2 linked regions of the Notamacropus eugenii genome follow. The protein of the gene in region 1 binds, or shares a complex with, the protein of each later gene. Links are inferred from orthologs where the notes say so. Each region holds a gene or a part of one and is shown in the gene's direction. Other genes may lie near its edges.

What was found.
Region 2: POLE3 (region 1) and POLE2 share a complex: the UniProt entries of both Homo sapiens proteins name them as parts of the DNA polymerase epsilon complex. The link is inferred for Notamacropus eugenii from reciprocal best matches to the Homo sapiens genes POLE3 and POLE2.

The regions. Positions count from the first base shown.
Region 1 is NC_092872.1:478,310,239-478,322,492, forward strand, and holds POLE3 (DNA polymerase epsilon subunit 3), read left to right. Parts: upstream 1-7,568; 5' UTR 7,569-7,611; coding exon of another isoform or gene 7,612-7,654; 5' UTR 7,655-7,655; coding exon of another isoform or gene 7,656-7,966; 5' UTR 7,967-8,229; coding exon 8,230-8,295; intron 8,296-8,382; coding exon 8,383-8,468; intron 8,469-9,721; coding exon 9,722-9,840; intron 9,841-10,011; coding exon 10,012-10,184; 3' UTR 10,185-11,623; downstream 11,624-12,254. UniProt on the Homo sapiens protein: Accessory component of the DNA polymerase epsilon complex. Participates in DNA repair and in chromosomal DNA replication.
Region 2 is NC_092872.1:309,328,799-309,341,027, forward strand, and holds the start of POLE2 (DNA polymerase epsilon subunit 2), read left to right. Parts: upstream 1-7,373; 5' UTR 7,374-7,431; coding exon 7,432-7,499; intron 7,500-11,133; coding exon 11,134-11,234; intron 11,235-12,229. UniProt on the Homo sapiens protein: Accessory component of the DNA polymerase epsilon complex. Participates in DNA repair and in chromosomal DNA replication.

The DNA.
Region 1 (12,254 bases):
AGTTTCTTAAGGACAAATATCTTGCGGGGACTCTGAATACTGCATATAATCAATAAACACGTATAGCCTATTTAAAGAGTGCATAGCCCTCCTAACTCTGCTCACACTTCCCTGAGGAGACACTTCCCAAGACCAGCCCTGATAACAAGGTTGCCAGTGCTGTGGACTCCAGTACTTATCCTTAGAGCCAGGTCAGTGAAAAAACATCTTCCCCCAGGTACTCCTTGCTCTTACCTGAAGGTTTATTCTGTGCACGGCCAGAATCATTTTTGTCTTAGACAATATAAATCGATGCCCTTCCTGCAAAAGGGTCTCTTCACTTATTCTGTCCAGTTGGTCCATCTTTGAAATTGTTTTCTCTTCATCAGACAAAGAACTGAGGGGGGAAAAGATAAATGGAGAGTAAACAGTAGTTCTATTCTGGAAGAATATGAATAAGGGATTAAAAATGGCTAAAGGGTCAGTGAAATTTCCCTATCTAGACCATGAAAAGGGTCTACAAACCAGTGCTCTGTCTGCAAAACCATCTTCCGATACTTATCTAGAGATACAACCACCCATCTGTGCCCAGTTGAGAACCTAAGGCAAAAGTGGAAACATTAGGAGGGGACACACATTGTACTTATCCTTCTTGACTCAGAAAGAAGCAGGTTCACCTTTTGGTCTTCACAGAGAAGAAGGAGGAGGAGGGAGAGAAAAGAAGGAAGAGAAATTGGGGGAAGAGCAAGGAAGGAAGAAGAGGACAGTAAGGAGATATGGGAGGGAAGGGGGAAGAGGAGAAGAACTCAACATTTATTTCATGCTTTAGGGCTTGCAAAGTGCTTTACATACATTATCTCATCCAATTCTGTCAATAATCCTATGAGATAGGTGCAATTATTATCCTCATTTTACAGAGGAAAAACTAAGGCTACAGAAAGATTGTGATTCCTAAGGTCAAACAGCTAATAAGTGTCAGAAGGAGGAGTCAAACCCAAATCTTTCTGACTCCAAAAGCAACATTACACCATGCTATGCTCTAAGGAAAGCTCACCTCATTAATGAATGCTTGGGAAATGTGAAGGCCCAGGAAGACAAGGATTCCAGATGTGAAGGTGGGGTGACTGGAGATGGTGGGGGCACCCTTAGCCATCGATGCATCAGCTGCGTAGTACAGGGCTGCCCACCAGTAGGGACTCCTGTTGATTTCTTTTTCTTGAAGAGAAATAGTGAAAACAACTCCCTCGTTTTCCTATCACCACCCTAGGGTTCGCACTTCTTCAATCCACATGCTAGCTTTATAACACTAATCCTAACTTGGTCCTTCCTTCCTTTGAAGCACAATTCCTGCTTTATTTTTCACAACTTCTCACTTCCCATACAACATCATTTTTGTCTCACTCTGGTAACCAGGTAACCCTATGTCCTCTCCCCTAGCACTCAATTAAGCATGTCTGCTCTAGAAAGATCTACAAATAAAGTTTTTCTCCCCAGATGGATAAACATAAGTAGATAATGGAAGAGACTTGGAATGAAGAGAAGTTTGGTGGCTCCAACTGGAGGATGTCTCCTGGATCCTTTCCTTAATTGGGAGCTGAGGAGAACTGGTAGGACAAAAAGTCTAAACTAACAGAACAAAAGCATCAACACTTTAATCAGTAAAACTAAACACAGTTTACAACCTTCGGAGCTGCTCTCTTGGTGATCCACTCCTGGCATGGCATAATTTTGCTGATCTTCAAGGGTACAAATGATTTCTTATCCGGGCTCAGTCTAAGGAAACTAAAGCATGAAGAGGCCTAGGAATGAGAAGCTGTCTGGTACTTCTCTTACTACCCACTCCCAGATACCTTAAATACAAGAAACAAGGATTAGTCAGAAAATGATGAGATCTCATCCATAATGCTGGCTGAGAATGGTGGCGATTTCTCTCTCACACATCAGCTATGCAAAAGTGAGGCCACTGAAGAAGCTGCTAAGTAAAAGCATGTATCAAAGTGACAGGGTCTGGTTTGTCAGGTCATTTCTTCACTGTTTATCAACTTTAACATCCCTCAATCAGAGCCTGGGAGCCCCAACAGACATAAGAGTCATCCTTTTCCTATTTCAGCTGTAGACGTCAATAAATCTTTTTACTTTTTCCTATGTGGAACTGTAGCACACTTTGTTTTGTACAAAAGTAGTATTTAAGAGTTATTCTATACAAGTACAACTGGGTTTTAGGGTTGAGGTGAAAAGGCTAAGCAAAGGATCTACCTAAAGGAAGCACAGCTTTGATTACTCCTGACAAGTAGGGGGAGAAAAAGGGGGGAGACAATTCTAAATTTTTGTTCTAAAAAAAAAATGTTACCAGAGAGAAACCTAGAGGTAGAGAATCTCCAGAAGTTTCATACAAGCATAAGATCTAAGGACTCCCAAGGCTAGGAACAGTGCTCACTTTGTCCTATGCTTCTGATCAGATTTCTTGTATTTCACTTGTTCATCTGGGATCCATACCATAAACAAATTCCCACCATCCAAACATTCTGGAAGACGTGTTGCATTCAAATTCAGCACTGGGAGCTGTAACAAAAAGTGAAAAGATATGAGCAATGCTCATTTGCCCCTGGGCTTATAAGGCCCAGGTGCTGAGCTCCAGATGAGTAACCAAATGGCACGGAGTCAGTTAGGGAGATTGATAATAACAATGATAATAGCTAACACTGATATAGTGATTTATGGTTTACAGAGCAATATATATGCATATATAAGGAACAAATACATACTCATTAGAACCTCACAACAAAGCTATGACGCAAAGTATCATCATTTTTATAGATTAGAAAACTGAGGCTTAGTGAGATTATATAACTCGATATAGGTTACATCCAAATTATGTGATGGGAGTCAGGATTTGGACTAAATCTAGTGGTCCATTAAATGAATGATACTTCTCCCCTACAGAGTCTAATACTGAGTACTGTTTTGTTCAACATCCTTAAACATCTGAGTGGGCTTCTGTGGACAAGATTATCAGCTTCCTTCCATGAAGACCAATTATACTGCCCATCCTCCCCAGGACTTATCCCCAAGAGCAGGGGTTGAGACAACTCTAGACCTATGCAGACAATCAGGGAAGCAAATGCAATGTGCTATGTTCTCTTTGCAACCTGTCCACCACTCCTGGGATCTGAAACCCTATGTGGTATGTGGTATGTGCATATGTGTGTGTTATAGTATCCCATTGGATACTATAAACTAAACTAAGGAAGCTGCAAATCTCCTCCTTTTGTTTGACTAGAGAGTTAGAGAGGTATTTCCATTTCATTGCTCCCAAATCATCAAGTCCTCTCTCAGCCCAGGGCAACTGCCCTGGGCCCTGTTTAGCAATAATTTAATAACTTTACATATATATGCATATACATGTGTATATGCATATATATTTCTTCTTATCAACGATCTCCCCAAGTTATCTGTATACCTCAGGGGTCAGGGCTCTCTTTGGTCATGAAACAAGATACTACCCAATAATATTGTTGTTCAGTCATGTCCAACTCTTCATGACCCCATTTGGAGTTTTCCTGGCAAAGATACTGGAGTGATTTGCCATTTCTTTCTCCGGCTCATTTTACAGATGAGGAAACTGATGTAAACAGGGTTAAGTGACTTGCCCAGGGTCACGCAGCTAATTAAGTGTCCAAATTTGAACTCAGGAAAATGAGTTTTCCTGACTTCAGTTCCAGCACTCTATGCACTATGGCGCCACCTAACGGCCCACACAAGAATATAGGGTGTTAACCAGAGGCAACACATTTTATTCTGTGCTATGCAGTTCAGCTGGAGAGACATACTATACATGCTACATCTGTGGATTATTTTTCTTTGTGACTTACTTTGGCAGGTTTTCTAGACTTCTGGGGAAAACCCTGACCATGGAAACCTCTCAGAGATTTGAGTCCTAATAAATGTGGTTCTTCCAAACTGAAACAGACATAAAAGTTATTAGAGAAAGCGAGAGGAAAATAAAGGCTAGTGCAGGGAAGATCTTGGAGGAACAACCTTCCTCATGCTTATAGCAGTAACACTTCTACATAATACCTCAGTATTTTATAGTTTCCCTTTTTAATAATCTCTGCTTCCTAATCCAGTAGCAAAGAAATGTAGCGTGACCAACAGACAGGTGTGGATGTGGAACCTTTCCTACATATAGGGCACAGAAGTATAAGATGCAGTCCCTATCCTCAAGAGACTTATTCTAGCTGGGATAGGAAATGTACGTGATAAATCAAAGGCAGAATGTGTTAGCTATATAGTGAGTAGTTGTTCAGTTATTTTAAGTCATATACAACTTCATGACCTCATTTGGGGTTTTCTTGGCAGAGATATTGGAGTGGTTTGCCATTTTCTTCTCTAGTTCATGATACAGATGAGGAAACTGAGGCAAACTGCATTAAATGACTTACTTAAGGGTTATAGGGCTAGTGTCTGAGGCCAGATTTGAGCTCAAGAAGATACATCTTCCTGACTCCAGGCCCTCTATGCACCATTCCACCTAGCTGCTACAGGAGTTCTGAGGAAATGGCAAGACAGTCACTCATAAAAGAAAACAATCTGGTTAGATTTCATGGAGACTAGAGAACTGGGTCTAGAAAGTCAGTTCAGGAAGATGGAGAGAACGTCAAACTGGACTCAGGAGATCTGGATTCAGGTCACAGCTCACTTACTGGATTTGTAACCATGGGCAAAGTACTTCCCTTTTCTCAGCCTCAGGTGCCCTCATATATAAAATGGGAATATTTAAAATACCTCCCTCATAGGTTTGACCTAAAGAAAGGGCTTTGTAAGTCTCAAAGCAATAAATACAATTTGCAGTTATAGCTGTTAAAAGGATAGCATACAAATAAGCTGAGAGGCCTAGGAGGACACACGCCAAGTAGTATAAACAATATAATTGAAGGCACTGAGGTGAAAATCAGAATTGCGTGATCAGAGAACAATGGGTACACTAGCTGAGCTAAAGAGTAAGGTTCAGGTAGGAAAACAGTAGAAGATAAAGTGGAAATGGAGTGAAGAGCCTGGAATGACAAACTCAAGTTTTGGCTTTATTCTGTAAGTGCTAAGAAGCCTGTGAAAAATTTTAGTTGGAGGCAAGACATGCTAATTAGTGTTTTAAGAAAATCAATCTAGTCTACGTGTACAAAATGGACTGAAAAAAGGCAGAGACCAATTAAAAAGTTATTCCCACAGTCCAGGCATGAGTTGGTGCCCTGTGGGTCTGAACTAATACAGCTGCCATAGAAATGGAAAGCAAGGGATAGATAAGACATACATTAATACAGCTGAATTGACAAGATTGACTTGATATAGCAGTTCCCTGTCAACTCTGCACTATAGCTTTAGTCCAAGAGAAAAGTGTGAATGCATGCCAACCACATGTCCACCTTCACACAGTGGGAGAAGCAGCATTCCATTCTTTTCTCCAAAGCTCAAATCTTAGAGAACCTGAAAGCCATCTTATCCTTTCCTTAATTTTACCCTATCTCCTAGAGCCCACCAGGCACCACTGAGCAGGAAAAACTAATCACTATGAAGTATATCAAAAGGCCCAACACCCATACTTTGACTCCAAGAAAATTCACTTTCAAGTGTTTATTGTGCACCTAGTTAACTATGTGCCAGTTACAATGTTACATCCAAGAAAGCAAAAACCACCTCTCTGTCTCCCAGAGCTTACAATATAGTTTCAAGCATGAAGTAATTAATCCAAATAATTAACATCTTGAAAATTCTTAACCTATTTGAAGCAATTGTCCAGATACACTTCAGTTTAGCATTTCTATTGGAACCCAAAAAAGGGAAATATTTCTTTCTCTTGCCTCGATATCAACTCACCACTTCATTTTGTTAGTGAGAAATAGTTCTTCCCATGGTAGGCTCACTGTTTCTTAACCTGGCATGGCAAATTCTGGGGCATGGCTCTAAAAAATAACCACCTGGGATCCTGAGACACATGGTTTCTGGTGTTTTCATGATGAGTCACCTGCTTTGTAAATCCGAATCAAATTTAGAGTCTCCAGTCAAAGAACAAGGATGCTTGAAAAACGGGGCTGAATCAGCGATTCTCTTGGCCAAAATGGAAGAATCAGGTAAAGATAAATCTATTATCTTTAGAGTTGGCAGTTCATCTAGAAATGCAGACCATATTAAAAACTAGTCAGAAAGGAAGCCAAATATACCACATATATGGGTCTTTGGACAAATATGAAAGGGTATTGTCAGTTCACCTTCACTTTTCTTAGGAGCTCTGGAAATTGGTTGAAGAATTCGAGGATGACCCCTCTGAAGCCTTCGGACTGTTGCCCAACATTGTGGATGCTGGCAAACAAGTTGTGGACAGGTAGTCTCATCCCATTGACTGACATCTGGCAATTCGATATTTATCACAGATTTACAGCAGAAACCAACCTCAAGATCATTAGCCATCTACGGAAACAAGAATTAAATAAGCTAGGGAATATGACACAGTATCATTAGTTATATCTGCATGGCAACGTGTAGCCCACATCTTAATTTGATTGTGAATATCTATGTCGCCTCAAAAAAAGATGCGTTAGAATGGAGACCAAAGGAGCAGATGATCCAAAAATCATTAGTGAAATTAAAAAGTGTCTACTCCCTACCGCAAACAGCCACCAAACTGATACAATACTGATACAGCGGCAGATAAACAAGGGGTAGTGAAAATAACACTGGATGTGGAGTCAGGCGACCTGGGTTTGAAGATGGAGTTCACTATTTATTAATTCTGTGACCTTGGACAAGCAATTTCCACTCTTTCCACTTCAGTTTTCTCATATACAAAATGAAGGGGTCAAAGAGTGATCTATAAATTCCCTTCCAATTCCAAATCCTAATAAGTCATTATCTTGCATTTATACGACATGTTCTATTTTTCAACACTTTCACATATGTCATTTCATTTTTCCTCACCACACAAGCTTGTTAATATACTATCCATAATGGTGTGTGCTACTAATAATTGTGTATTACTTAAAATATCTAAAAAAAAGTAAAAAAAAGTCTCCAGTGGAAATTTTTCTACAGTTAAAGGAAGCAGAAGCCTAGTCCTGAGATTCTTCTAAGAAAGGAGAAAATCAGGGAGTCAGACAAGCTTAAAGACGAAAAGATTCCGGAACCTTGGGAAGATCAGACCAAAGGAGGAGGGGAGCAGCAAGGGCAGAGAGTGAACAAACAGAAAGCCGGCTTAAGAGTCCACACCGCCTGGACTCCAACCCTGCCTCCGACACGGAGGCTGCAGGACTCTGGGTAACTAAGAGGATAAACTGCAGAGAAATCACAGCTCTGCCCCGGGAGAGGACGGTCCTCACCGAGAGCTCCCTGCACCAAGCAAATGCCAGGCAAGGTCTCAAAAAGGCAACGCAAGCCAGGAGGCAGGCTGCAGTAAGATGGAGAAGTGCGGGGCGTGCGGGACATGGGATGCTCGGGGAGGGGGGGGGGGGGGGTCAGGGCAGGCTTCAGAGGACGGCACAGCGGAGGCGGGGTGGGACAGGGCTGGGGAGGAAAGAGACCCAGGACGGTGCGGATCAGGCGGGGCACAGGGAGGAACAGAACGGCGGAGAGGGAGGTCGGGGCAGGCACAAGGCAGAGACCGGGAGTCAGGATGAAGCAGCACCCCGGTCAGCGAGCACCGCCAAGGGCGAAGGCTGGAGGGGAGGCGCGGAGGACGCCCCACGAGGAGGGAGGCGGAAGCGCAGCTCGCAGGGGATCCCTGCCCTCGGAGAGCCGCAGAGGAACGGCAGCACGGACCAAGCCACCCCGCCCGACTGAGACCTAGGCTAAGCCAGCCTCCTCTACGTCGGAGCGACCCTGACAGGATTAAAAGAGTCTCTAGGCAACCGCGCGCTGCACCCTGGGGGACCGCCGGGAAGGGCGGGGCTCTCCGGTTTCCAGACCCGGCCAGGCGGGCCTTGGATTGGCCGAAACTCATCGGGGGAAGTCTCCAGGCGTGAACGCACGAGGCCGGCGCCTCTCCGGGAGGGCGTGGAACGCGCTGGGGCTGGGAGGCGGGCGTACGAACGGAAGCCCAGGCGGGACACGCGCTCCGGGGCGGGAAGTACGGACGCCGGAGAGGCGACCTGGGTGAGCGACGCGGCCGGCGGAGGTCCGGGCCGCAACTGCCGCCTTGTCTCGGAGGCCGGCGGCGGCGGCGTGGTTGCGGCTGTCCCGGGGCAGACGAGAGGCGCGGTGGCCATGGCGGAACGTCCGGAGGACCTGAACCTTCCCAACGCCGTCATCACCAGGATCATCAAGGAGGCGGTGAGCGGGGCCGAGGCCGGGGCGGGGGCCGGGCCGGGGCGGGGGCCGGGGCCACCCCACTAACTCGGGGGCCGTCTCCCCTTGCAGCTCCCCGACGGCGTCAACATCTCCAAAGAGGCCCGGAGTGCCATCTCTCGGGCTGCCAGCGTGTTCGTGCTGTACGCCACGTCCTGGTGAGAGCCTCGGGCCGCGGCAGATCCCCGGCGGGGCTGCTTGCCCTTCCTGACCCGGGGCTGTCGGGCCCCCCTTCCCGGGTGTCCTCCACGTACCTCCCCTAAATCCCCAGCCCTCGTCCAAGAAGCTTCTCCGTCCTTCCCCTAGTTACCCCCATCAGGTTATTTTTTTGTATATATGTGTCCGCATTTAGTATTTCCACCGTAGAAATGTAAGCTCTTTGAGGGCAGGGACGGTTTTCTGTTGGATTTTGTATCCCCAAAAGCTTCTTGGCTTATACCTGGAGAGAAAGTCAGAAATCAGGAAGACCTGGGTTCAGGTCCTGCCTCTGACCCATAACTTAGCAGTGGGACTCTCGACAAGTCATTTAATCTCTCCTAGTGCCCTAAGCAGCTCTCTAAAATAAAGTTTCAGAGAAGGGGTGGACTTGCTTTCTAGAGAAAGTTTTCCTCCACTGAGAGTACCGTATACCAATGAACTCATAATAGGTCCAGTGACAGCCTCTCTCTTAGCACCTAGCTCAGTCTTACACATTTAAGACACTTAGGAAATGTGTTGACTTGAACTTGAACTTAAGTACAGCTTCATTCTGAAGTTGATCTCACAGAAACTTGGTGATGAAAAGATTTGCTGAAGGTCCCACAACCAATTAACAGAATTAGGACTCTCCTTACTCTTAGTCCAGCGCTAGTACTCCTTCCATTATGCTATGTTGCCTCCCTCAGGAAATGAGCTTAGCCACCCCCAGTCCTCTGTAGGAGCAAAGTATCCCTATCAGTGTTTACTGTATTGAAAATTTGAATGTAGTGTTATGAAAATAAGGTTGACTTCATGGACCCTCTGAATTGATTTTAGGAGAGAGCCACTAGTCTGATCTCAAAGGTCAGCTTCTCTTTAGGCTTCAGTTTCTATGTCTTTATTAGTAAAATAAGGAGGTGAAAAGATGGTCAGTAATAATAAGAGCAAATATTTATGATGTGCTCCCTGCTACATCATCTTTGAAGTAGGTAGCCCTTCAAGCTTCACATGGTTTAAGAGGGCTGCATCTGGTATTTTTCACACTTCTCTTTCTTTACCAGACTAGAGTAATTGGGATTTGTAATTACAGGTTAAAGTTTGAGACTACAGGTAGTCTCCCTAGATGTGGGCTTGGTCAGGCAATCAGATTTGCTTACATGTACCTGTTAATTGTCTTTAAATGTCTTGAAGTAAGACATGGCCAAGATAATTCATCTCTCTTTTTTTTTCTAAGTGCAAACAACTTTGCAATGAAAGGAAAACGAAAGACCCTAAATGCTGGTGATGTGCTATCAGCAATGGAAGAGATGGAATTTCAGCGATTCATTTCCCCTTTGAAAGAAGCACTAGATGGTAACAACTGGTGTATTTTATTGGGCGGGTAGACATAGCTCCTTGTAAAGTGATGGTCATGTAATTTAACCAGATGAACTTAAATACAGTATTGTATATATATAGATGTGTCTTCATTTGAACCTGTCTCCAAGCCCTTAGCCTTGCCTTATAGCTTTCTTCTATTTCTAGCATATAGACGTGAACAGAAAGGTAAGAAGGAAGCTTCAGAGCAAAAAAAGAAGGATAAAGACAAAAGAACGGATTCTGAGGAGCAAGACAAGAGCAGGGAAGATGATAATGATGAGGATGATGAAAGAATGGAAGAAGAGGAGCAGAATGATGAAGAAGAGGTTGACAATTGAGCTTCATGGAGAGAATGTGGAGTCAGATGATAAGAAACTTGGGGTTCAGCACTGTTGCCTCCATTGTACTGTTTGACAGAGAATTCTGTGGCCTTTTCCTCCACTGCTAAGAATGCCTCCATATGAGGACCTAGGAATACTTCTTGAATAATCCCCAAACCAGAGTTTTTCTGAATGAGATCTTTCCAATTTCATTTTCATAGTTTATAAACTGACCTTTTGACAAGGTAGGTTATGAACTGCCATTTAATCAAATTTTTGTGGGAAAAAATGTAGAAGATTCATATATTTCACTTCCTGTTTTATGACCCACATTTCATACTAGCTATTATTTAGAGGGTGTAGAGGCAGCTGAAAATTGGAGATGTTTGAACTCTGAGCATGAGTTAGCCTATGACTGACAATGACATCGCTCGTTGAAAGAGTAGTCGAGGCACTCTGGATCCGGGGGAATATCCAAAAAAGTGTGGGGTAGAGAATGCAACTCTCACTCCTTTGAAAGTAACTTTCAGCAAAATTCTGCTTTCTTTGCTTTGTGATCTTCTCTTCCTGAGGCTTCCTTCACCTAGTGTCTTGCTGAGTTTGGAGCTTGGTCCCTATTTGCCACACCCTACTTTGCACTTTGTACATGTTTTGAAATGTGCATTTCACTATATTAGTGGAGTGCTGGGTTTAATGTAAAGTAGGTATTTCACCTCAAAATTCTCTCTCCCTTCCCCTGCCTACTGAACAACAGTTTGAAAACAGACTTTTTTTGTATACGTAGTCCCTTTATTTTTGGTTTTGTAGTGAACCTCACAGGTGTCTCATCCTTTTAGAGCTTGGCTCTTTTATTTAGCAGGTGACAAGCCCCAAAATTCATTTCCACCAGGTACTACACAGTTACTCTCTCCAGACTGTTTTGCTTTGCTAACTTATGACAGTCAGTCTAGCTTAATTTAAAAAATGTAAGGTTTTCTTTCAATCCCAGAGTATTGACTCTTGTCTTTTAAAGACAGCTTGATAGAATAACTGTTATAAAATATAATGATGCTTCAGAATATAATTCTAGTAAACCACTTTTCTAAAGTGGTGTTGATGGGGCCTTCATCTTTTCTTAGGCTCCCCTTCCATTCACTCCCAAGTACTTTTGTCTTCAAGTTGAGTGAAAGTTGGTAGCTCCTAGAAGACCTTTATCCCCATGGCAAAAAAAAAATGTGTTCAGCCAGAGGGGGCTCCTACAGTGACCACATTCAGTCCCTCTATTAAGAGCCATCTTGAGAATTGGGGGTAAAGATTCTTGCCAACTTCTCCCCATAGTCGGCTTTAATTTTTTTGATCTATGGAGTATGACAGGTGAACAAATGTAGTCTGCTACCATTGACTTATTTGTGGCTTATAGGGACAGTTTGGGGGGAGGGAAATATAATGATTTGTATAAATAAAGAATGTTGTTAAAATTGTTGCCTTTTGCTGTTCCACATCTGTTCGTGGTGACTATTGGGAAAGAACTGACCTCTTCATTGAGTCTTCCATGTTTTGTAATATGGGAACCATAGAAAGTGAGTTATGCAGCTCCATGGGTGGCCAGCAGGTGCTCCTCAAGTATCAGAAATAGCTCTGCAGTTCTGTTCCTCATGACACTGCTTTCATGGATTAAATATTGTCAAATCTTGACAGTTATTTGAAATTATTACCTCAAAATTTTCCCACTAATCATTCAGCCTTGTTAATTCTTCTTTCACAAATACATTCTTTGCCTTCTGGGTCATGTCATGAATGAATATTTGTTGAATGTTGAAAGAATTTGGAAGGGGGAAGAAGGATTGTGGTGTGCCTAATCATGAAAAGACTGGGGGGTGGGGGAAGGGATAGGATTGCTGGTATTTAAAATACCAAACTGACTGTTACAGAAAAGAGAATAGGTTTATTTTACTAGGTTCCAGAGGGGAGAAGTAGAACCCCATAAATGGATGTTACAGGAAAGCAGATGTCTACAAAGGAAGCTCCTTATAGCAACTAGAGTTGTCCAGTAGATGAGGTTGCTTTGTGGGAAAGTGAGCTTCCTCTTTCTGAAAATATTCAAGAAGA
Region 2 (12,229 bases), about 170 Mb from region 1:
TAGAAAAAGAAGCTGAACAAGCCATAAATGAACTCTTCTCCTACCACCTCCTCAAAATCCCAGGACTAGATGGATTTACAAGTGAACTTTACCAAACATTTAAAGAATAATTAATTCCAATACTGTATAACCTATTTGGAAAAAATAGGTAAGGAAGGGGTCATACCAAATTCCTTCTGTGACACAGATTTGATCTTGATACCTAAACCAGAGAGTCAAGACAGAGAAAGAAAACTATAGACCAATTTCCTTAATGAATATTGATGCAATTAAATGTTAGAAGCATTCTCAATAAGATTAGAGATGAAACAAGGATGTCTATTATCACCACTATTATTAAATATTGTACTGGAAATGCCACCTCTAATAGAGAAGAAATTGAAGGAATTAGAATAAGTAATGAGGAAACAAAACTATCACTCTTTGCAGATGATATGTTGGCATATTTACAGAATGCCAGAGAATCACCTAAAAAACTATTTGAAACAACAACTTTAGCAAAGTTGTAGGATATAAAATAAACCCACATAGGTCATCATTATTTCTACATATTACCAACAAAATGCAGCAGAAAGAAATAGTAAGAGAAATTCCATTTAAAATAACTGTACACAATATAAAATATTTGGGAGTCTACCTGCCACAACAAACACAGAACTATAGGAGCACAATTACAAAACACTTTTTACACAAATAAAGTCAGATCTAAGTAACTGGGAAAACGTCGGTTGCTCTTGGGAAGGCTGAGCTAATATAATAAAAATAACAATTCTACCTAAATTAATTTACTTATTCAGTATCATACCAACCAAACTACCAAAAATTATTTTATAGAGCTAGAAAAAAATAACAAAATTCATCTGGAAGAACAAAAGCTCAAGGATATCAAGGGAATTAAGGGGGGGGGGGCGGGGAAGGCAAAGGAAGGTGGCCTAGTCATACCACATCTAAAACTATATTATAAAGCAGTGATCATCAAAACTATTTGTTACTGGGTAAGAAATAGAATGGTGGTTCAGTGGAATAGATTAGGTACTCAAGACAATAATCAATGACTGTAATGATCTACTGTTTGATAAACCCAAAGACTTCAGTTTCTGGGATAAGAACTCAATATTTGACAAAAACAGCTGGGAAAACTGGAAAAGTATGGCAGAAACTAGGTGAGTGGGATAGGTTTAGTGAAGATGTCTCAGATTGTAATTCTTCTCCCAGGGGTGAGGTAAGGCCTAAAGGCTCAAGGTTACAATACTTTTAGAATAGAATAGTTCCATATAAGGATATAAAACTATGTAGTGTGTTAGGGTCTCAATGACTGGACAAAACTCACATAATTCCTCGATGTCTTCATTTCAAAAAGGATTGGTGAGATTTCGTGTCTAGAATGTAAGATCATATTCTCAGCTAATGAGGATAATGGTCAGTGGGGGGAGCAGGGACTTGTGTTAGGGTCTATATAAATCACTGCCCTTTTCTTTGTCTTCGGCTTTCCTACTCCTACAGGTTAGCCCCACTTCTTGAGAATCAAATAAATCTCTTTTCTGTCATCACTTTGAGAGGCTTCTGAGTAATTGATTTATGTAGGGACCTGAGCCATCCCACACATAGGCATAAACAAACATCTCAAACCCTAAACCAAAAGGTCAAAATGGGTACGTGATTTAGACATAAAGGATGATACCATGAGCAAATTAGAAGAGCAAGGAATAGTTTGCCCATCAGATTTATAGAGAACAAAAGAATTTGTGACCAAACAAGAGACAGAGAATATTATGAGATGCAAAATGGATAATTTTGATTACATTATATTAAATTAAAAAGGTTTTGCATAAACATAACTAATGAAACAAGATTAGAAGGGAAGTAGAAAGCAGGGAAACAATGTATACAGCCAGGGTTTCTGATAAAGGCCTTTTTTCTCAAATATATAGCAATATGATCAGTTCATTACTTCAATTTATTTTACCCTTTACTTCTAGGATATCAGGGCAGTTTTCCAGGATAATTTCAAACAACTTCATGTTTTTTAATCATGGTTTTCAGGTAGTCTAATAATTCTTAAGTTATTTCTCCCTAATACATTTTCCAGGTCAGTAATTTTTCCAATGACATAACACATTTTCTTTTATTTTGTTCATTTTTGATTTTATTTTATTGGGTTGTTTTTTTGGTTTTTTTGATGTTTCATGAAATCATTAGCTTCCACTTGTCCAGTTTTAATTTTAAAGGAATTATTTTCTTCAATGAACTTCTGTACCTCTTTTTCCACTTGGTCAATTCTACTTTTTAAGTAGAAGTTCTTTTCTTCAGTAGATATTTGTGCCTTTTTGTTTTTACACTATTTAGCCTATTCTCTTTCTTTTTTTAAGGCATTTTTTCCTTTGGTATCCTTTTGTGCCTCCTTTGCCAAGCTGTTGACTCCTTTCTCATGATTTTTTTGCCTCACTTTCATTTATTTTCCCAATTTTTTCTCTGCCTCTCTTATTTGATTTTGAAAATTCTTTTCAAGCTTTTATGGGAATTGGGGGGTGAAAGGGCAGAGACCAATTCATATTTTTCTTTGATACTTTGAATGTCACTGTTTTGACATTGTTGTCTTTTGAGTTTTTTCCTTTTGATTTTCCCTGCCATAATAGTAACTTTCTAAGGTCAGATTCTTTCTTGTTGTTTACTCACTTTTCTAGCCTATTTCTTGACTTTTAGCTTTGTGTTAAAGTTGGGTTGTGTTCCCAGCATAGAGAGAACACTGTTCCAAACTTCAGATTTTTTGTACTTTTGTTTTCAGAGCTAGTTCTGGGGGTTGACAAGTTTTCAGTTCTTCCAAGGTGGTATGGTTTAAGGAGTGGTGTGATGTGCTCTCCTGGCCTGTTTTCTGGTTTGTAAGTGACCACAAGCTCTCTTTTATACCCTGGAACTGTATCCAGGGTCTCTGCTTCTGCTAGTGCACCTCCTAATCCTGAGACTATGACCCAGAACCATGTATGGGCAATGCAACAGAGGCCGCCTCCAGGGCCAACAAAGGGTGCCCTGAAATGTCCTTTTGACCAACTATCTGAAAACCCTTACCATCTGTGGACTAAGAACTCTGGAAGCTACAGCCCTCAAGACCTGCTCCTGACTTGTTGGGGCATGGCCTGTACTGGTGCAGCCTATGCTAGACTTTTCTCCACTCTTACCCCAGTGAGATAGATCTTTCCTATCAACCTTCTGAGTTGTCTTGGGTTGGTCAATTATTTCACCCCTTTCTTTTGCTGGTCCTGCCACTTCAGAATTTGTTTTGAGGCATTATTTTAAAATTGTTTGGAGGGGAATTTTGGAGAGTTCAGGTGAATTCTTAGCCTGTACTCTACCATTGTGGCTCTGACCCCAAAGTATAATCTTGAAACAGTAGCTTTATCATTATAATTCTGAATAGCAGAATTGGTGTCCTTACTCTCAGAAGTCATATCCTTGACAAATTGATCCTATCTTAGGAAAGAGAATAAGTTTTTCAGTCCTGAAGTTTTTTGGCCCTGGCCTTTAATAATACTTAGCCAGTAAAGATGGACTGTTTTTGGGCATGGTTATATTCTTTACCTTTTCTATCCCCAGTATGAAGCTGCTAAGAGTTTGAGGTCCCAATGGTTCAGGTTGTCCTCACTTGGAAAATTGTTTCATAGCATGTTTAGACAATGCCTCCTCAGAAAGGAATTTGGAGGACCAAGGGGTACAGATGTTGAGGGGTACCTTCCTTTCCAATGCCAAGACCAACAGGCCTTTCATCTTCTCTGACATTGACACCTAAGGTCTCCAGTACTGTTATCTGTCCCATCTATGTTACCTAAGGATCCCTGGTTTTTTTCATCTGTCTCATCACCCTGAGAACTTCTGGGCCTTTCTATGTGCCTTGTAGCTGAACTTTCTTTTCTGTTGTCTCCTCTTATTACAAGGTAAGGTCTTGAGAGTAGGAACTGGATTACTTTTAATATCTATAACCCCAAACCTCAGCACAGTGCTTGGCACATAGTAAGCATTTCATAAATCCTTTTTCATTTGCTCATTCATGGGGAAAACCACCTCTACTTAATTATAGTTAATGTGAACTTACATAGAAGAAAGTGAATCCCTTAGTTGACTTGGTAACAATATTGTGTTCCTAGATGAAAGTGAGGAAGAGTCTTTTCCCACTCCCCGTGAAGGAAGAACACAGCCCCTCAGAAGAATCCTCTAAAGGGGCAAAGATTCAGGATTGCCCTTCTCCCCCATGGTGCTCCTAGGGAGAGAGAGGTCCTGGCTAGTGGGCCTAGGATCACTGCGTGGGCTGTGATATAAAGCAAATCTCTATATCAACTTTGGCCTTGGGATAGGTTGCCTATAAGAGGTAATACTTAGCTACCTTAGTACAGATGATCTAGATGGTATGGATAGAACTCTGGGTCTGGAGTCATGAAAACCTGAGTTTAGATTTGGCCTAAAACACTTATTCACTGAATAATCTTGGGCAAGTCAATTAAGCTCTATCTGCTTCAGTTTCCTTATCAAATTGCAAATAAGTTATCCTTATCAAATTGCAATTGGTCTCAAAAGGGGACAATAATTGCACCTACCTCCCAGGTGTTATGAAGATAAAATGAGATCTTTGAAAATGGTTTGCAAACCTTAAAGTATAAATGCTAATTATTATTATTGCCCTTACAAAGGAGGAAACGTTCAAATCTGAAAGACAAATGGAAGGAAAGAACTAATACTGTACACCTACGTTCTGGTTCCACAGTCTTACCTGGCTTGCCTCACAGCAAGGATACCCCTCTCCTTTTGGGGGAGTATAAAAATAGCCAGTCAGAGATCAGTCTCTGGAAGAGAGAGTGGAAGGACAACCCCTTACGCCCTGCTCATCACTCTCTTTACTTATATCTATGTGTATATGTATCTGTCTATATATTCATATATATATGTGCATACTTGTAAATATATGTGTGTGTTTTAAGGTTTACTAAGGAGTATGTAAACACATAAAAAATAGCAAAGAAACTCATTTATCTAAATCCTAGCAAAACAGAAATCAGAGAAATAGGTGAATACATATCAAACAATATAGAGTGAAAGAGCTCTTCCACTGGGAGTGAGGTAACTCAGCTCCACCAAGACTGTCCTTGATCTCATCCAAGGAGAAACTCACTGTAGTCTCTAGTGTAGCAAGCTGGAGATAGGGACATGATGAAGACTGCCGTTTCCATTCATATCTTCTCAGAGTCTTTTCCTTCAGCAGCCTGAGTTGTGAACTGCCTCTCCCATTTTTCATTTCTAAGTGCCAGAATCACCCACAATGACTCAAAGCTTGAAGACCAGAAGCTTGATAGAGGGCTCTCACCTGAAGAGTCTCTGAAGAATCCTAAAGGAGGACTGGTAAAGTCCACACAGGGCAGGGCATGGATCTCCATGAATAAGGCGAGTGTCCCCTACCAATCAATGATCTTTGGAACAGGGGTTTCTTGCTTGTTGTCAATTCAGTTATGTCTAGCTCTTTGTGACTTCATTTGGAGTTTTCTTGGCAAAGATACTGGAATGGTTTGCCATTTCCTTCTCCAGCTCATTCTTACAGGTGGGGAACTGAGGCAAACGGTTACGTGACTTGCCCAGGATCATACAGCTAATAAGTGTCTGAGGCCAGATATGAACTCAGAAAGATGAGTCTTACTGACTTCAAGATCAGCACTCTTTTTCATTCAAGGATATACATTGATATTCATTGTCCTCAGCACCATGCCACCTAGCTACTGAGAGAATTTACACTTGTAAATTTACATGGTTTGTACATAGTTTGTTTTCATGTTGTCTCCCTCCCTCCACAAATAGATTTTAAGCTCCTTGAAGACATGGACTTTTAAATTTTTCATCCTTTTTTATAGTAAGTGTATAATTCATTTTTTAAAGTCTAGACTTGATTATAGTCCATATGTTTTCAATGGAGTTTAAATCAGGTGAGTTCCTAGCCCATTGACTTCAACGTTTATGTACATCTCTTAGACAAATTTCTTGATGTGTTACATTGTAAGTTGCAGTATTTTATCTCCATTGGAGAATTTCTGTAATTCTGGAACGATTCTGCTTTTTAAGCACACCAATCTATTATGGTTCATAATGAACAGGGACAAGATTTCCAGCTTCGCTATAAGTTAAAAAAAAATCCCCAAAACATTTTTGGTTGTATGTCTTACAGTCTAATGAAGATCAATTAACAAGTATTTATTAGGAGTCTATTATGTGTGCTAGCTATTGATGATAAAAATATGAGTGAAACAATCCCTGCTTGCAAGCAGCTTACAGATATAGGCTCACCCAGACTTCTGACAATGGTTTGGTATATCCTTGAATGAAAAAGCAAATTTCACCAGCTAAAAATAGGTTTTTTTTCAATCTTTAGCTTGGGATGAGCCTTTATTCCTTAATAGCAGTGGGATGAGCCTTTATTCCTTAATAGCAGTGGTTAGTAGCTTTCCTTCGTGCTTCTGTTCATCTGAGCCTGGTTCATTGTAAGCCTGAATGATCCTTTACCTCTTCACCCCAACAGCTACTGCAGTAACTAACAGCTGTTGAAGTGTTCTCTTTAAGAGCCGTACCTTTTCCAAGTTTTCCTGCACTAATATCCACGCTTGGAAGGAAAAGTTAAAGATGCACCAAAAGAGAGCAGTGACACTGACATAGTACAAGCTATCCAAAGCCCAGCTGAAGAAGAGTCTGGGGAAGGTCGGAATTTTTAAGCTAGAGGGAGGGTAGCAGACCGGAAGTAAGCCTACTGCTCCCTTAAGCTTTGGTCTGGGAGGTTGGATCGGACTCCACCTAACTAGCTAAATAACACCTCGTCCTTTCTGTGGCGAAGGGGGTTGTTGGCCTACTGTTAGAAGCTCGTTAGACCACGGCTGTCCCCACATACGGAAAAGCTACAGGTCGTCCCAAGTCGTTAGATGCCAGCTCCTCAGGCGGGAGGGGTCTAAGCCCCAGCAGGCGGGGTAGCGCCCCGAAGGTCGTCGTGTTCAAGGTGGCGGCTGAACTGAAGTTAGAACAAAACAGCTATTCTAGAGTCGCAAAGGTGAGGACATGATAGTGCCTTCCAGGTACAAACAGCTTAGCGCCGTGTCTCACTCTTTTGAAGTCCAGGATGAGCCTTCCTTTAAAAAAATAAAAGTCTGGCTAGTAGCTGACCCTAAAACCAGCCCGTTCCAAACGCATGCCTTTGTTAACATCGCCAGAGGACTTTTCTCTTAAAGGGGGAAAGGAAGCGCTTCCGGGTCAAAACGAACCGAGGGGCCACCAGACAGGGCGCTGCAGCGCTCCGTTCGAGGCCACGGGGGCTGGCACAACTTCCGGGGAGGGGCGGGGCTGGGGGCGGGTCCTGCGGAAAAGGAGGGGAAGGCGAAGGAGGCTGGGCCGCCTTGGCGCCAAAATCCGAAGATGGCGCCGGATCGGTTGCGGAGCAAAGTGGTCTCTGCCTTTAAACTGCGGGGCTATCTGCTCCGGGGGTGAGTTCTCTCGGGGCACGTTTGGTGAAGGGGGGGGGGTGCGGGAAGGAGGCGGGTCCGGACAACGCCCGGGCCCCCCATCTGGGCTCGGCGCGCCCCAGCCCGGGCTGGGGAAATCTGAGTCCGACTTCCCGAGGAAGGAGGGAGATGGAAGCATTTATTAAGCGCCCACTGTTACCGGTGCTGGCCGTACAGAGCGAGGCAGAGGACAAGCCCTGCTGTCCTAGATCTTCCAGTCTAATGACAGGAAGCGACAGGTGCGGGATAAACGGAGGTGATCCGCAGGGCCGAGGGAGTGCAGGGGCCGTCTGCAGTGCAGGGGTCTGAGCTGAGTCTTGATAGAGGTGAGGAGGCACTGAGTACAGACTGTGCAAAGGCGCGGATTCCGGAGACGGAGAGAAGCCAGTGACGCCGACAGGTAAGGCGGGCCAGGTGGTGAAGGACTTTGAAAGCCAAACAGGATTCTATAGGTCAGGAAGTCACTGAGTTGTAAGAGGACAAACTGGCCAGCCATATTCCATTTTTTAAAAAAAATATATTTATTTTTAGTTTACAACATTCAGTTCCACAAAGCTTTTGAGTGTTAAATTTCCCGCCCCCTCCCTAAGACAGCGGGCAATTTGATATAGGCTTTACATATACATTCGTATTCAACATATTTTCACATTAGTCATGTTGCAAAGAAGGATTAAAACCAATGGAATGAGCCACGAGAAAGAAGAAACAAAAAAAAAAAGGGAGAGCAAATAGTGTGCTTCGATCTCCTTTCAGACTCCTTAATTCTTTCTCTGGACGTGGACAGCATTTTCTATCAGGAGCATTTGGAGTTGTCTTAGAACCTTGCATTGTGAGAAGAGAAGAGCTAAGTCTATCAGTTGGTCATCACACAACCTGGCTGCAGCTGTGTGCAGTGGGTCAGCATTTCTTACAGCACCATAAGATCCCATCACATTCCCCTACCACTGCTTGTTCAGTCATCCCCCAGCTGATGGGCATCCCCTCGATTTCCAGTTCTTGGCCACCACAAAGAGAGCTGCTATAAATATTTGTGTACATGTGGGCCCTTTTCCCATTATGATGTCTTCGGGATACAGAGAAGTGGTATTGCACTTTTTTATAGCCCTTTTGGGTGCATATATATATATAATATACATATATATATATATATACACTAATTTAAAAAAAAAAAAACCTTGGCTAAGCCAAGAAAATGGAGCATTAAATTATTTTACTGTGAACTCGCAAATAACTAAAGAGTTGTATAGGCATTTAAATTTGTGAATTAAGTCAACAAGTGTTTATTTAAATTCTGACTAATCCTAGCACTCTTAGGTGCAATGGGTTAAGAAAAATAGTCTAAAATAGCTCCTGCTCATAAGGAACAATCTTGTTGTTAAGACGAGGTTCAGTTCTTTTCAGCAAATAAAGAGTACAACATATTGACTGCAAAGTATAATGGATAATGTGAGATTGTTTATGAAGGTGCTTTAAAACTGTAGAGTGCTATACAGATGCAAGATATTATTCATAATTGCTTTAAGTAGAACATGATAAAGTATCATAAAAGATACAAAGTACTATGGAAGTTCAGAGTGGGGAAATGTTCTTTCCTGTTGGGATTAGGGGAAACCTTATGCAGGTATTAGAGCTGTGCATTAAAAGGATGGGTAGGATGTGGGGAAGGGATTCTAAGAGGAAGAAGCAGTGAGATAAAATGTATGTATATGTGAAAACATATGACATATTGTAGGAATGGGATCATTTGTCTAGCAGGTTGTGTTTACAGATTAAAAAAAAGATCCAGAGAGGTTGGGTGAAGTGAATTTTAAAAATATTTTTATATCCAGTTTTCATTTTTATACAGAATTACCAAATAGTTCTCTGACCCCTAGTCTAAGTAGAAACTGTTTCTAAAATTCTTTTTAAAAGCATTTCTTTTGACTTTTAATTTTTGTCTGTGTTTAAAATTCCCAGTCATAAGAAATTTGTCTTAAATGCAAAATGTCTAAAAAGATCAAGTATGTTATTTTAAGCTCATTTGAAAAGTCTGTTATTTGATCTACGTCATTTTTTTCAACTACTCTGATTTTCCATTGTATATATAATATCAGGGACATGGGTGATTCAGTGATGCCAACTGAATCTTAGCCATGTCTGTTCATTACATGCTACTCCTATATTCACTGTGGGTAGTCCATCCAATGGTGTAGGAACCCTTACTTTATTCTCTTGATGTTACATGCATTCTAGTGGAGCACATGGGCTGCCTTTTGGTTATCCCTCCTAGTCATTAGGAAATGAATCCAGCCATTTTTTTTTTCTGGTCATACATTTCTTTGATGACTCCTTTGATACTGCTCCTTTTTTGTTTTTTGTTTGTAATGTATTACAGGCTATATAGGCCCATCATCTACCATTTCATCCCCCTTTTGGGTGATCCCCAGTTTCAGTTCTATACAGAACAAATGAATAAAGCATTTATTAAGTGCTTACTATGTGTACTGGGGATAAGCTCACAATCTAATGGGGGACACAGCACATGGAAAGTTTCAGTTGCAAATTAGATGGAAAAATCCTGTAGACCTTAGAGTGCAGTGGCAAAAACAGATGTTAATGCCTCTTCTTTAATGTCATTGGTCCCTAGGTTTTTGGGTTCAGGGTTCTGGAGATGTGGTATTGGTATTTTACGTGAAGTCAGAACTGGATACACATTTTTCTGGAGTGGCTGCAGTGCAGGGGAGAACTGTGAAGCTAGTGTAGATTTTGCAATCAAAGAGGTGATCCAAGGACACTCTCAAGGTCTCTCTCAAGAACTTTGGAATTGATTGTGTGATATGGGAGACACTGACACAGGACCACTCAGCATGGTGTGCCCACATCAGCGAAGGTGCTGTGCTCTATGAGCAAAGCAGAATTAAGACAGCACAAAGGAAGCATAGGAAGTGCAAATTTAGAGTGTCTACCACAGATGTTCACACAGACTCTCTGTGCCCAATCTGTAGTAGAGCATTCCGAGCTTGTATGGGTCTGATCAGCCACAGTCGGACACATTGAAACTTGACTTTATCATAGTGATATCATTTTGGTTCTATTCAAGGATGAAGGTCAACAACCAGCCAACCATCCTGGCAAATATCTCTTCCCATCTCTCCTTCAGGGTACCTTTCCTGCTTCATCAGCTCAGGTGGCTTGCCTACCCTGTGGGTGGAGTTGGCGGGAAGGTACAGAGGCCCAGCCCCTCCTTCACAGGAGTTGCTTCCCCAGATAATGGCAGTGAGGTTTGTGCTGGAAGCAGGTCTGGTTGTTTGGTGGGCACTGCTATTCCCAAGACTCTTTGGTTCGGGGTTCTTGGCTTTCCCCTTCAGGGTATTGGGGGAAATTGTGGTCAAGCTAGTGGTGGTGGTGTGACTTGCTTGACACATGCTGTCTCCTCTCTTGCCCCATTGCTTTAACATGAGCAGAAGTCACATAGATGTATAAGGTTTCTTCAGGAGAGCAAGATTAAATTTCAATAATAGATTGGTGATTTTAGTCTAGTAATTAGTCATTTTTTAATATTAAAAAGTACTTTGCTCTTAAGCATAAATTACCTGTTTTTTAAAATCAATTTCCTACTTTTTCTTCCTTTTATTAGTGAAGCCACTAAATACCTCACTGAAGCTTTTGAGCCTGTCTCTGAATTAGAGCTTGAAGATGCTTTGGAAAGTGTCATTGATGCTGTTGAAAAGCAGCCTTGTAAGTAATTCTTAAATTGTTTACAGTTATAAATTTAATTTGATCCTTAAATTTGGTGATATTTTGTTTTAGCATAAAGTACTTTACTTATTAGACATACCATGATATCACCTTTCCCTAATTTGACAGTAGCCAAAGTCTTAAACCTGAACTTTGGCCTGCTTCCCAAGGGCCTCTTTTTATTTTTGTATAAGTCTTAGCTGATACTATTACTGCTATCTTTTCTCATCTTCTCTTGACTTTTAATTTTGTTAGAACTAAGAGAAGTAATTGTAGCATTACACCAGATTTTCTAGAAAGGTGTCATCGTCTTAGGAAGCACCCCCTCAGTTCCTTGGATGCCCATTTGATTAAAAAAAGCTGATCTCCCCTCCAAATGCAGATAGTAACAAAGGACTTTTTGCTAGTCATCTTGGCCCTTTTAAATGGACATAAGCTGTTGTTATTACAACAGGCACAAATCTGTAGTGTCACAAATCTGTAGTCCCTGGCCATGGTCTTCAGTGATTCTGCTTTCTCATATATTTCTGTTGCTAAGAGAACCAAATCTGTGACAGAAACATACTGTTACAACACGGGTGGAAAAAGTTCCTATATCTCATTTTAAAATCTATAAATGTAATGGAGCCACTTTTTTTTTTATTTTATTTGTTTTCAGTGTTCTACAGTCACTGCCATAAAAAATTGTATGCCGACTTGGGGAGGGAGGGGGTAAATCATCCCCTCCCTCCCCGAGTCAGCGTACAGTTTTATCTAGGTTCTACACATACATTCCTATTAAATGCATTTTCACCTTAATCATGTTGCATAGAAGAATTAAAATGAATGGGAGTAAAACAAACCAAAAAGTAATACAAAAGAAAATGATCTGCTATATTCTGTGATTGAATTCCATAGTTCTTTCTTTGGATGTGGAAGGCATTTTGCCTTAAGAGACCACTGAGAATTTTAATGGAGCCACTTTTGCTCATATTACCTAGTGATTGAAGATGTAA